Linked DNA regions of Daphnia pulex. The protein of the gene in region 3 interacts with the protein of the main gene of each other region in a biochemical or structural test. Links are inferred from orthologs where the notes say so. Each region holds a gene or a part of one and is shown on either strand. Other genes may lie near its edges.

Region 1 (4,301 bases), on a different chromosome or scaffold from region 3:
TGTAGGACTCTGTGATAAAACAGACCAATTTAAGGAAATCCATCAGCTTTGAAATAATGTGATCCATACCTAATCGTCGTGCGCATTGATAGAAACCATTTTTTCTAGCTAAGTCAGCGGGAGTTTGATCTTCTTTAGTGCGTGACAATGGTGTTACAGACATTGCCATCATGATTTTCACACAATCGAGATGTCCTCGACTAGCAGCCTCGTGAAGGGGAACCATTCCGGTCAAACGGTGTCGGATTTGAGGGCTAGCTTTGAACTCCAGCAAAGTCTTTAAGCATTCGTGATGATTGTGTATACAAGCATACTAAACAATTCAAGAGAGGTTAATCATTAAATAAGCTACAGGGAAGGGTATTAATAAATGATTTAACTACTGTTATTAATTACATGTAGTGGAGTGAGGTCTGCATCATCCTTAACATTGACATTTCCTCCTCCTTGGATAAGAAGTTTAAGAATCATATTATTCCCCAAAAAGGCAGCTAAATGGATTGCAGTCTGTCCAATTTCGTTCTTAGCGTCGATACTCCTGTAGGAGCCACCTCGAAGTAATTCTGATACTACAGTTAGGTTGCCTGTTGAATAATTGGTAGTGACCTTGATACTTGATACTAAGGGAATCTCAGACAGATGAAAAATGCTTGGCAATCACCTTCTTTGGTAGCTCTATGCAATAGATTACATCTTCCATGACACCTTGTATCAACAGGTGGCAAATCTTTTTTGCAAGGTCGGTTAAGTGGTCCAAAAATAGAAGAGCCCTCTTTCTGACAAAGAGTAATGAGAGCATCAAGGCCATGAACAATGTATCCATCTTCTGCAAGGGGACAAAAAATTTATAATGAATGTAAATTAATGTAAAAAAATGCTTCAATGGCAAACCAATTGAAAAAAATGCATCAGCCCCATGTCGATTTATTTGGTAATGCCTGGGCTCTCCTTGGTGACGAACACTTAATATGAAAGCTCCATCAACTGTGGGGCTCTCTCTCACCAAAAATAGTCCTTCAGAGTCATCTTCTGCAGGCATAAATATGGAAAAATAAGATCACAATTTTAATAGATAGGCTACAAAAAAAAATATTATTTTAAACAGACCATTAGTAAGTAGAGCTTCAGCCTCTTGCCTGTTGATTTTCCCATGAAACCACCTTAGGTCTTGGTCAGTTTCGTCTCTTGAAGGTCGTCGAGACATGGTATTGAAATTCATTTATAAAGGTTAAAAGAGCTAGATTAAAAGTCAAAATTTTTCTTCATGTTATTTTTATCAGAGAGTAGTCAAAGGGAGTTCCTTCCTGTCAGTGGCTGAACCAAAATTGAACCGAATATGCACTTGTGATTATAAGTCAGCTGAGCGAGCGCCGAGCGGGCTAGCAGACGACATAAACAATATCTCAGCATACAATTCTGAGAGCTCCTTTGCTGTGGTTTTCAATTTTTTACTGGCCCAAAATTCTGTGTTCATAATTCATATAGCTAAAAGTAAGCTTATTTTACCCATTCTTATCTTTTGATTATGTACCTGCATTCTATTGTGTATAGTTGTCAATCATATCCAATCAAACCTTAATGCAACTATTGCTTTCACTTCAATATGTCAGTCAATGTTAAAAATCATGTTAAATGTTTTTGTTTATTTTTTTACAGGTTTTTTTATTCTACTGCAGAAAATGGCAGATGATATTGATATGGAGAAATCAGTGGAAAAAACCACAGTTGGTAATGACTGTGTAGTCAAAACTGAAAAGATGTTCTCATTGAAACGGTGGAATGCAGTTGCTATGTGGAGCTGGGACGTTGAGTGTGAAATTTGTGCCATTTGCAGAGTTCAAGTTATGGGTAAGTCCCAATTTCAATATGTTTGTTAAGAAGGGTTAGAGACAAGAACTATTTTAAAGGAAAATGTTTAAAATTTATTTGTGGTTCTGGTATATTTACATTTCACAAAATATTCAGAAATTATCTGGTTTTCACATTTTCAACTAAATACTAAAGGGGTGGGGTGTCGGCAAGGTTGTAGTTATGGGGGTTGATGAGAAGTTTACCATTTTACAATGTTCTGTACCCTGCCTGATGTAGTAATGTACATAAATATTTTGGAAGATAAAACAATTAGAAAAGATTCGTAGTCTGCTGGGTATTAGGAGAAACAGTCGTATTTATAAATAACGAATCCTAATTGTTCTATTCCTAATTATAAGGCTATCTTTAAACTTTCCTGGGAAGAAATAAGGTAGAACAGAACAGATCATTCAGAGATTTGAGGAATTGAAGACATCATTTGATTAAAGAAAGGAATAGTCTTATGTACAAAAACATTGTCCGCACTGTTAAGACGTCCAACGTTGAAAAATAATTGGTCGCCTTTACAGCCTAGTAGATTCGATATCTTTTTTCGGTTTCTTTTCAAGCATACTTTTCTCGATACTCTCCAAACTGTGTCCCTTGGTCTCTGGTACGAAGAAGATAACGAAAAAGATGCTGATAAAGCAGAAGAAACCAAAAAACCAGAACGCTCCATGGGCGCCGATCGTCGCTATCAGGTCGTTGAAGAATTTAGTTACTGCGAAGCTGCAAGCCCAGTTGAAAGCTGTAGCTACAGATGCAGCGTGACCACGAACCTTGCTTGGGAAAATTTCTCCCATCTAAATTAGCCAAATAGAAATTTTGTTAGGATTGAATTTTTTTCAAACAGCCATCACATTTTAATAACGTACCATAAGCCAAGGGATAGGTCCATAACCGATGGAAAAGGCGACGATGTAGACTATGAATGTAGTCAGTGGAAGCCAACCGACGTGTTCGAGATCATGTTCAAGGTGTTGCAGAATGAAGAAGACTCCCAATGCGCCGAGGCTGATTGCCATAAAGAATCCGGATATGTTGAGTAAAACTTTACGGCCTACTCGGTCGATGACCATATTTGAGCCCAGTGTAGCCATAAAGTTAGCCAACCCAATAATGATGGAAGAGAGGTTGCTATCTACACTTCCGCCAGATTTTTCAAAAATAGACACGGTGTAAAAGATGACCGCGTTGATGCCAGAAAGTTGCTGAAAGAACATGAGTCCGAGTGAAATGAGTAGGGGCCGTAGGTAGGCAATTTTCAAAAGTTCTCTGGCTCCACCACCGACGCTCTGATTCTTGTAATTGTTTTCAATTTCGAGAAACTCGTCTTGAACGTTAGTTTTGCCCCCACGGAGCCACTGTAGAGATTCGCGAGCTTCGGTATAACGGCCTTTAGAGATGTACCAACGTGGTGTTTCCGGAATGAACCACATGAAAGCTAAAAAGGGTAGAGGAAGAGCTGCTCCGATGGCCGCCAATACTTTCCAGTCGATGTAGGAGCCCAGAATGTAGCAAAACAAGATGCCTATGTTGCCTATCGTGGTGGGCAACAGGCCCAGCGATCCTCTGACCTCCGGTTGAATAGTTTCACCCAAGTAGATGGGCAGCGTCAAGGTAGTAAGGCCCACGCAAAATCCCTGGATTGAACGTCCGGCGTAGACCATGGGCAGGTTTGTAGCAAACGTGATGAGTAACCAAGCTAGATGAAGAAAGCAAATATTAATATTTTGAATTCAATGACACTGTTGCGTTACTTACACAAAATGTATGGTGGCCCGGTAGCCATGATGGTCGTCTTCCGGCCAAAATGCTCGACAATACTTCCACCGACAATGCCACCGATTAGAGCGTTAAGCGGCATTAAGCTCCCGATCCATGACGCCTAAGAATTGAATGATTTCCAGTTAGTTTTTGTTTGGTATTAGGGATTTTAGTCTAGTTACTAACCTCTTGGTCGTTTACGGGAATAGAACTGTTGGGTTGTGTCATAGAAGCTAGGGCAGGAGAAGTATAGCCAGATGAGTACCCCTCGATCAAAGCTGCTATGGCCAGGGCCAGCGAAGCCAACACTTGAGGGAAAAGCCTTCCACGACTTTTGCGACTTGCGGGTTCCATTTTAAATGAAGGATCTGGGAACGTAATGATCTGTGAGACATTGGACAGCCTATCGTTGTCTTTATTTTCGTCGGGATTTTCCATTGCCATATTGTCTTCTTCTTTCGAGTCAGCTGGCATGATTGGATTCAGAGCAATCAACGATTCGCTGACGACCATTGAAGTGGAAGGTATAGCTAACGGGTCTTTTGAATCGGAATTGTTGAGTCGAGCTTGAGCCAACGTTTCAGCCAGCTGTTGGTAAACTACGGAAGTTTGATCGACAGTGGCTTCGCAGCTGGAACAGGAATAGGATCCAGTGGAATTGTCATCTTTAATCCACCGGTAAC
Region 2 (2,262 bases), on a different chromosome or scaffold from region 3:
AACCTAAATTTATGAGACCAACTGGTAGGTTTTCAGTATTGATTTTAGATGATGTAGGCACCGATGGTCGAGGAAAGTAACGAGAGACGTGAGGCCCAGACTCGCCAGACAAACTCGCCATGCCTTGCTTCGCCATATTGTCGATGATTCGTAACAAGAATGAATTTTTGCTGTCGTCCACTTCCATTGAACTAAATGTTTAGCGAATATTATACGATTTTAACACAACAAGTGAGCAGTCGACTCTTATCATCCCAGCCCCATTTTTTTTAAACCGGGAAATTTAAACAGTCGCGGGATACGCCATCTAGTTTCAAGAATCAAAGTCATAATTTAATGTTTTATTTTAACAAATTTTTGCCTACGAAACGACGATTGCAAACTTTGATTTTTGTTACGATAAAACGACAATACCGTAACATCATTAAGAAGATTTTTAATTGAATAAATATTGAATAAATCGAACTTTCAGCCATTGATTTATCTCAATTGATTTATCATCAATCGACCAAAGTCAAAGACTTGCTAAGTACGTTGATAATGCACTTGATAAAAAAAAAAACATTTTTATATAGGATTTAATTTTGACGGCATGTATTAACTTCATACCAATATTCAAGGCCAGTTGTACAATCGGTAAACGGGGAAGGGTTGAAAGGGAGGTTGTTGAAAAAGTTGCAGCCATGTAGAGTAAGGATTTTTGCCCTTTGTTAATCCAATCGGTAACATTTAATACTCACTGGCACGAAGAAAGAACTCTTGGAATTGATTATAAATGACCCAGGTCAACATAACTTCCATAGAGAATTCTATTTAGAATTAAAGAAAGCAACGAACTAAGCTAATAGTCCACAACATTGGATATAGCGCAAGTGAACTGATGATTATGGTAGTAAATAACCTTGAAATCAAATATGAACCAACCCCCAACCCGCCGCACAACGTAGAGTAATCAAATAGTTTTATTCGGTCGGGAGCACGTAACGGACGTAGGGCACTTCAACGTCTTCATCTTCAAGGTTATTACAGCATAACTCGAAGACGAGTGCTTTGACATGAGGCTCCAGTCTCTTCTTCGACACACGCTTGACAACCTCTGACATGGGGAGATCCATACGTTCGCTTCGTTTAGCTTGCGGCATAAAGAACGAATAAAGCATGCAAACACCCTGTGAAAGCATGGTGATTTTCAGCTTGTGTTCGCTTTCGAAGTAATCAATAAATTGCCGGAGCGTCTTTTCACCCTCCACTTCAAAACGATCCCACAAGGTCCATTCCTTGTCGTAATACTTTAATCAAATACAAACAAAAAATTTTTTAGTTAACGAATCGATTAAAATATTTTCCAACAATACCGTTTGCTTGGGAGCAGCGATTGGTTCAGAAAAGCCAAAGAACGGAAGAGCCAAGTTGATAAACCCGTTCTTAAATGCCTCAGGATTGGTATGACCCTGTACCAACTTCAAAAGTTCGATGCAGACCAAGCCTGAAACGACGGAGGTAGTAGTAGCAATGGCTGGAATAATCTTTCCAGCAATAAGTTTGCTCTTGTGGCGATCGGCCGGTGCGATATCATAATTCTCTGCCCGCAAGTTAGAAGAGGCTACGATGAAATCCATATGAAAGTTGGTGTCGTCATCCTTTTCAAATTCGAGGGGGAGAATGCGCAAGCCGGACAGAGAGTCCACAGATGGCAACTCCGTCTGCAGCTGGGTAAGTCTGTCTTCATCAAGCATGCCTGGGTTGTTGGCGGCAGCAGCAGCTTCCGCATCCGAAACAGCAATTCTGACTCCTGAACGTGGTACGAATTCCGGTACGACACACGATTCCACCATTTTAGTAATAGCCTATATTCGAGTCCGAGGGGATAAAAACAACTGTAAATCAAATTATGTTTTAACTAAAAAAAGTGAACTCACCTGTACATCGCGCGACTGTGGGATGTTGTAAATTTTAGCTTTTAGATTAGCAGCCGCAACCACATAATCCAAATGGACGGGGTTAGTGATATCGAATTCCAATGGATGAGGACAGCGTTTAGGTCCCGACCAAAACGGTTGACCTGTCAAAACAAAAAATTATATACAAAGTAAATTACACTTTATCAATAGATTTTACCAGAAGAAGTAAGTTGCTCGGGTGGAAAATTAAACAATAATTGCTTGATCTGATTGTGATATTGTTCCTGCCAATGGAGGCGAGCCCATTGAACACACTGCTCAAAATTCTTCGGACGTTCCTCAACTAAGCTGCGGTGGACGG
Region 3 (3,412 bases):
AGGAAACAAAACGAACAAAGAGAATTATCTTGATTGAACATTCAAGCACAGAAATCAAAGACTAGTATGCCAAAATACCATTAAAAAAAAGCCCCAATCGTGATTTAAAAACCTAAGATAGTAGAGACACAAACTCTGACTTTGAGACTCATCAAGTTCCCATTTACTTATTTTTAACGGAATCCTTTTCTGTATACGATCGGATGCCATTGGTGACTCGGTGTAGGAATATCGACAGAAATTTTGATAGTACTTCGTTGTGTTTGACGCCAGGATACAATGAGATGAGTGTGACTATAACAATCAAAATGCTGATTACAATTCAGAATACTAAATAGTTTTAATTAATAATATTACATACCAAGAATAAAACAAATGAGCCAATTGTTGACTGTATAACCAATCCAAGCTGAAAGACTGCAGAATGAAAAGAGTGACAAGAAATACTGGAAGATAAAACATAACAACAGGTTACATTTAAAAATATCAAAATCTATGCACTGTATCAATTAAAGAAATCACCATTTTAGGATTTGTCCTTTTGAGATCAATAAAATATGTCATCTGGTTGTAAATTTTATCTTGAGTTTTCACCAGAGTTTCACAGATTATCTCAAACTTTTTCTCTATGGAGAAATGATCAAGTTACCTTTTGATCAAGTAAGAAAATGAGATGAAGAATGTATACCATTCAATGCTGTCCATTGATGAGGTTGTGATATACAGCTACATATTCTAGGAACACTGTAATCAATCAAACTGAGTATCAGAAAAAATAGAGATACGGAGGTGATGATTGGAGGATTCCAATACCAGTACATCCTAATAAACGAACAGAAACTTTATCATGTCACAGGAAAAATTTTTAAAAATATAGAACCTACAGAAATACAGTGCTAATGGTTCCAACAATAGGTGCAGGGTACCAGGATTCAGTCCATATGAGGACAGAATACAAGGCAACGAGAAAAACACGCCAGGTTTCAATACGCCGTTTTAGAGATTTTATCCTCTTTTCCTGAAATTGGGCAGAAAAACATAAACAATGGGTTTAGTGTGCTGCAAACAAACGAAAATAGTCACCTGGTCGGATACAAGAAGGATATCAGGCATTTTGAAACCTATTATATTAGACAGTTTTAAGAAACCAAGAGCCCGAGACGGCACGTATAAAAAAATAGAATAAATATTATGGCATGTGAGAAAGGTTCGTGACTCACACGCAACGTTGACAAGGACCTTGAAAATAGAATGTGAAACTCGCGAGTTGCAAATTACTTGAAATTCAACGCAGATTTTTCACGAATAAAAACCAATTCATGTCGAAAGAAAATGTTTTTATTTTAAAATCATAAAAAAAATAAATAAATTTTTCGAATACGTTTTTTTTAAATTGGTACCCATTTCGGCAACGGTGTGCATCTTGTATTCTTGTTGTCTCTGAACTCTGAGGCCAAAATTTCCTGATATTGTCCAAATTCTAACCGTTCTAACGGTCGTATCAAAATTCTTTTCAAATTTACTCTTCCGTTTTCTGTTTCGTGAACATATCACTTTTCTGCTCTTTTGTTTTTAACCCTCATGGCTTCAGTAAGTTTTTAGAAAATTGAGTTACAGCTTGCAATTTTAGACTTTAAAGTTGCGCCCATTTTGAACCGTTTAATCTAGGTTTCGTTTGAAAACTTGGCACCTCAAGTTAGTCGCCAAATTTGCAAGGAACTTCAACAGCTTATTAGTGATCCACCTGAAGGCATCAAAGTTATTCTCAATGAAGAAGACATATCTGATATTCAAGCCATTATTGATGGACCTGGTAAGAGTAATTCTCATTTAAAAATAAAGCCTAAAATTAAATCATTTTAAATCATTTCCCCCACAATCAGCTGGTACCCCATATGCTAGTGGACATTTTAGAGTAAAATTAGTGCTAGGAAAAGATTTCCCCTCTGGTCCTCCGAAAGGTTTCTTTTTAACCAAAATATTTCATCCCAATGTCTCGCAACAAGGCGAAATTTGTGTCAACACCTTGAAGAAAGATTGGAAGCCTGATCTGGGTATCAAACATATATTTCTGGTGCGACTATTTAAGAGTTCAATTCTATTTCACAACTAACCTAAAATCTCTTTTTTAGACTATCAAATGTTTGCTAATTGTCCCCAATGCAGAGTCGGCTTTGAATGAAGAGGCTGGCAAGCTCTTATTAGAGCATTATGAAGATTACTTTCAAAGAGCAAAAATGATGACTGAAATTCATGCCAAAGTTAGTCAAAATCAGGTAAACAAAACCAAATTTACCAACTTACTGTATTTATTTCATTTTCATTCCTTGATTGAAGTCGAACGCGGATGCCCACTTGAATGAAGACAACAACCCAACGGAAGGCCCTACAGCATCGAAAAAAGCTGCTACTGATCGCACAGTTTTGGCGGATAAGAAAAAGCCAGTGGCCAAGGACAAAAAGAGAACATTGAAGAGATTATGAGCGTCACTGTACATAAATGCCTTTTTCTCTGTTTCTTCTTGCTTCACATCTAGCAACGGTTTGAAAATATCCGTAGTCTTTCTCAGCGATAAACTCCATAATTCTCCATCTCCCATACCATTTGAATTGTTTCGTTCCCGCACTTCTATGCAGTGCGCGTTATTTAACGAGCAAATCTATCCATGTCTAGTTTTTACACTCGCGGAAGGGAGGAGAGTGTTGATTCAGTTTCCTTTTCTTTCTCTTAATTTTATGCTGATTTTTCAGTCGTGTGAGGTCGAAGGAAATATAAAAAAATTTGCTGATAACCCATTCAACTCATATTTTTACCTTTAGTAAGTTATCACAGGTTACATTTAATTATTGATTTGCTGTGAACGTTTAAGATTTTCTTGGAATCGCACTTTAATGGTTCGTTTCCCTGAATCTATTATAAATCCCTTAACCCCAGGTTACTCACTCGGAAGGTAATTTGGCGAGTGCAATTATCTTGGGAGTAACGACCTTGCACCACCTTTAGCAGGACCACACCAACCTCACTCACAACCTCATTTGACCTGCACCTTCGGTTGTGTACAGTTTGAACCAGTCTCTACGTTCCCACTATGCGACTTTTAATCATTTTAATTTTGTTCGTGACATGGACTGTTTGCGAAGACGACACCGAGTTAATCGAGGTAACATTTGAAACGGCCGATTGCTGTTTGGTTCGTAGAAGGTCATTGATCCAAGTTCAAAAACCTCCACTCAAATTGTGACTTTCCCATTTAACATTTTTCAGAAAAATTCAACAGCAGTTCGCGTCAAGAGAACATTCGGCTCGCCAACTCCTGACTCTGAGAAAGTGAAGAAGATGACACACCAAACGACATATTTGTCGAAATTGCTCCGCACAGGAATCAGTTTGGAACGAAAATGGTTCGACGTC

What was found.
Region 1: the proteins of ubiquitin-conjugating enzyme E2 S-like (region 3) and RING-box protein 2-like form a complex in vitro, tested with the Homo sapiens proteins (3 studies listed by BioGRID). The link is inferred for Daphnia pulex from reciprocal best matches to the Homo sapiens genes UBE2S and RNF7.
Region 2: of the proteins of ubiquitin-conjugating enzyme E2 S-like (region 3) and ubiquitin-like modifier-activating enzyme 1, one has a biochemical effect on the other in vitro, tested with the Homo sapiens proteins (8 studies listed by BioGRID, with this or other methods). The link is inferred for Daphnia pulex from reciprocal best matches to the Homo sapiens genes UBE2S and UBA1.

Annotation. Positions count from the first base shown.
Region 1 is NC_060024.1:9,938,647-9,942,947, reverse strand, and holds the start of RING-box protein 2-like, read left to right. Parts: upstream 1-1,378; 5' UTR 1,379-1,491; intron 1,492-1,656; 5' UTR 1,657-1,679; coding exon 1,680-1,848; exon of another isoform or gene 1,849-2,375; coding exon of another isoform or gene 2,376-2,654; intron 2,655-2,726; coding exon of another isoform or gene 2,727-3,556; intron 3,557-3,615; coding exon of another isoform or gene 3,616-3,739; intron 3,740-3,804; coding exon of another isoform or gene 3,805-4,301. Other genes in the region: tyrosine-protein kinase Shark-like, read right to left, coding at 1-9, 70-313, 397-584, 662-826, 892-1,029, 1,108-1,219; facilitated trehalose transporter Tret1-2 homolog, read right to left, coding at 2,376-2,654, 2,727-3,556, 3,616-3,739, 3,805-4,301. UniProt on the Homo sapiens protein: Catalytic component of multiple cullin-5-RING E3 ubiquitin-protein ligase complexes (ECS complexes), which mediate the ubiquitination and subsequent proteasomal degradation of target proteins.
Region 2 is NC_060018.1:5,971,849-5,974,110, forward strand, and holds the end of ubiquitin-like modifier-activating enzyme 1, read right to left. Parts: coding exon 2,119-2,262; intron 2,063-2,118; coding exon 1,920-2,062; intron 1,848-1,919; coding exon 1,356-1,847; intron 1,290-1,355; coding exon 963-1,289; 3' UTR 578-962; downstream 1-577. Other genes in the region: uncharacterized protein LOC124207205, read right to left, coding at 1-187. UniProt on the Homo sapiens protein: Catalyzes the first step in ubiquitin conjugation to mark cellular proteins for degradation through the ubiquitin-proteasome system.
Region 3 is NC_060023.1:8,631,884-8,635,295, reverse strand, and holds ubiquitin-conjugating enzyme E2 S-like, read left to right. Parts: upstream 1-1,419; 5' UTR 1,420-1,581; coding exon 1,582-1,590; intron 1,591-1,668; coding exon 1,669-1,813; intron 1,814-1,883; coding exon 1,884-2,074; intron 2,075-2,132; coding exon 2,133-2,276; intron 2,277-2,337; coding exon 2,338-2,484; 3' UTR 2,485-2,792; downstream 2,793-3,412. Other genes in the region: ADP-ribosylation factor-like protein 6-interacting protein 1, read right to left, coding at 164-294, 362-446, 523-626, 689-822, 885-1,018, 1,084-1,113; uncharacterized protein LOC124197881, read left to right, coding at 3,090-3,161, 3,266-3,412. UniProt on the Homo sapiens protein: Accepts ubiquitin from the E1 complex and catalyzes its covalent attachment to other proteins. Catalyzes 'Lys-11'-linked polyubiquitination.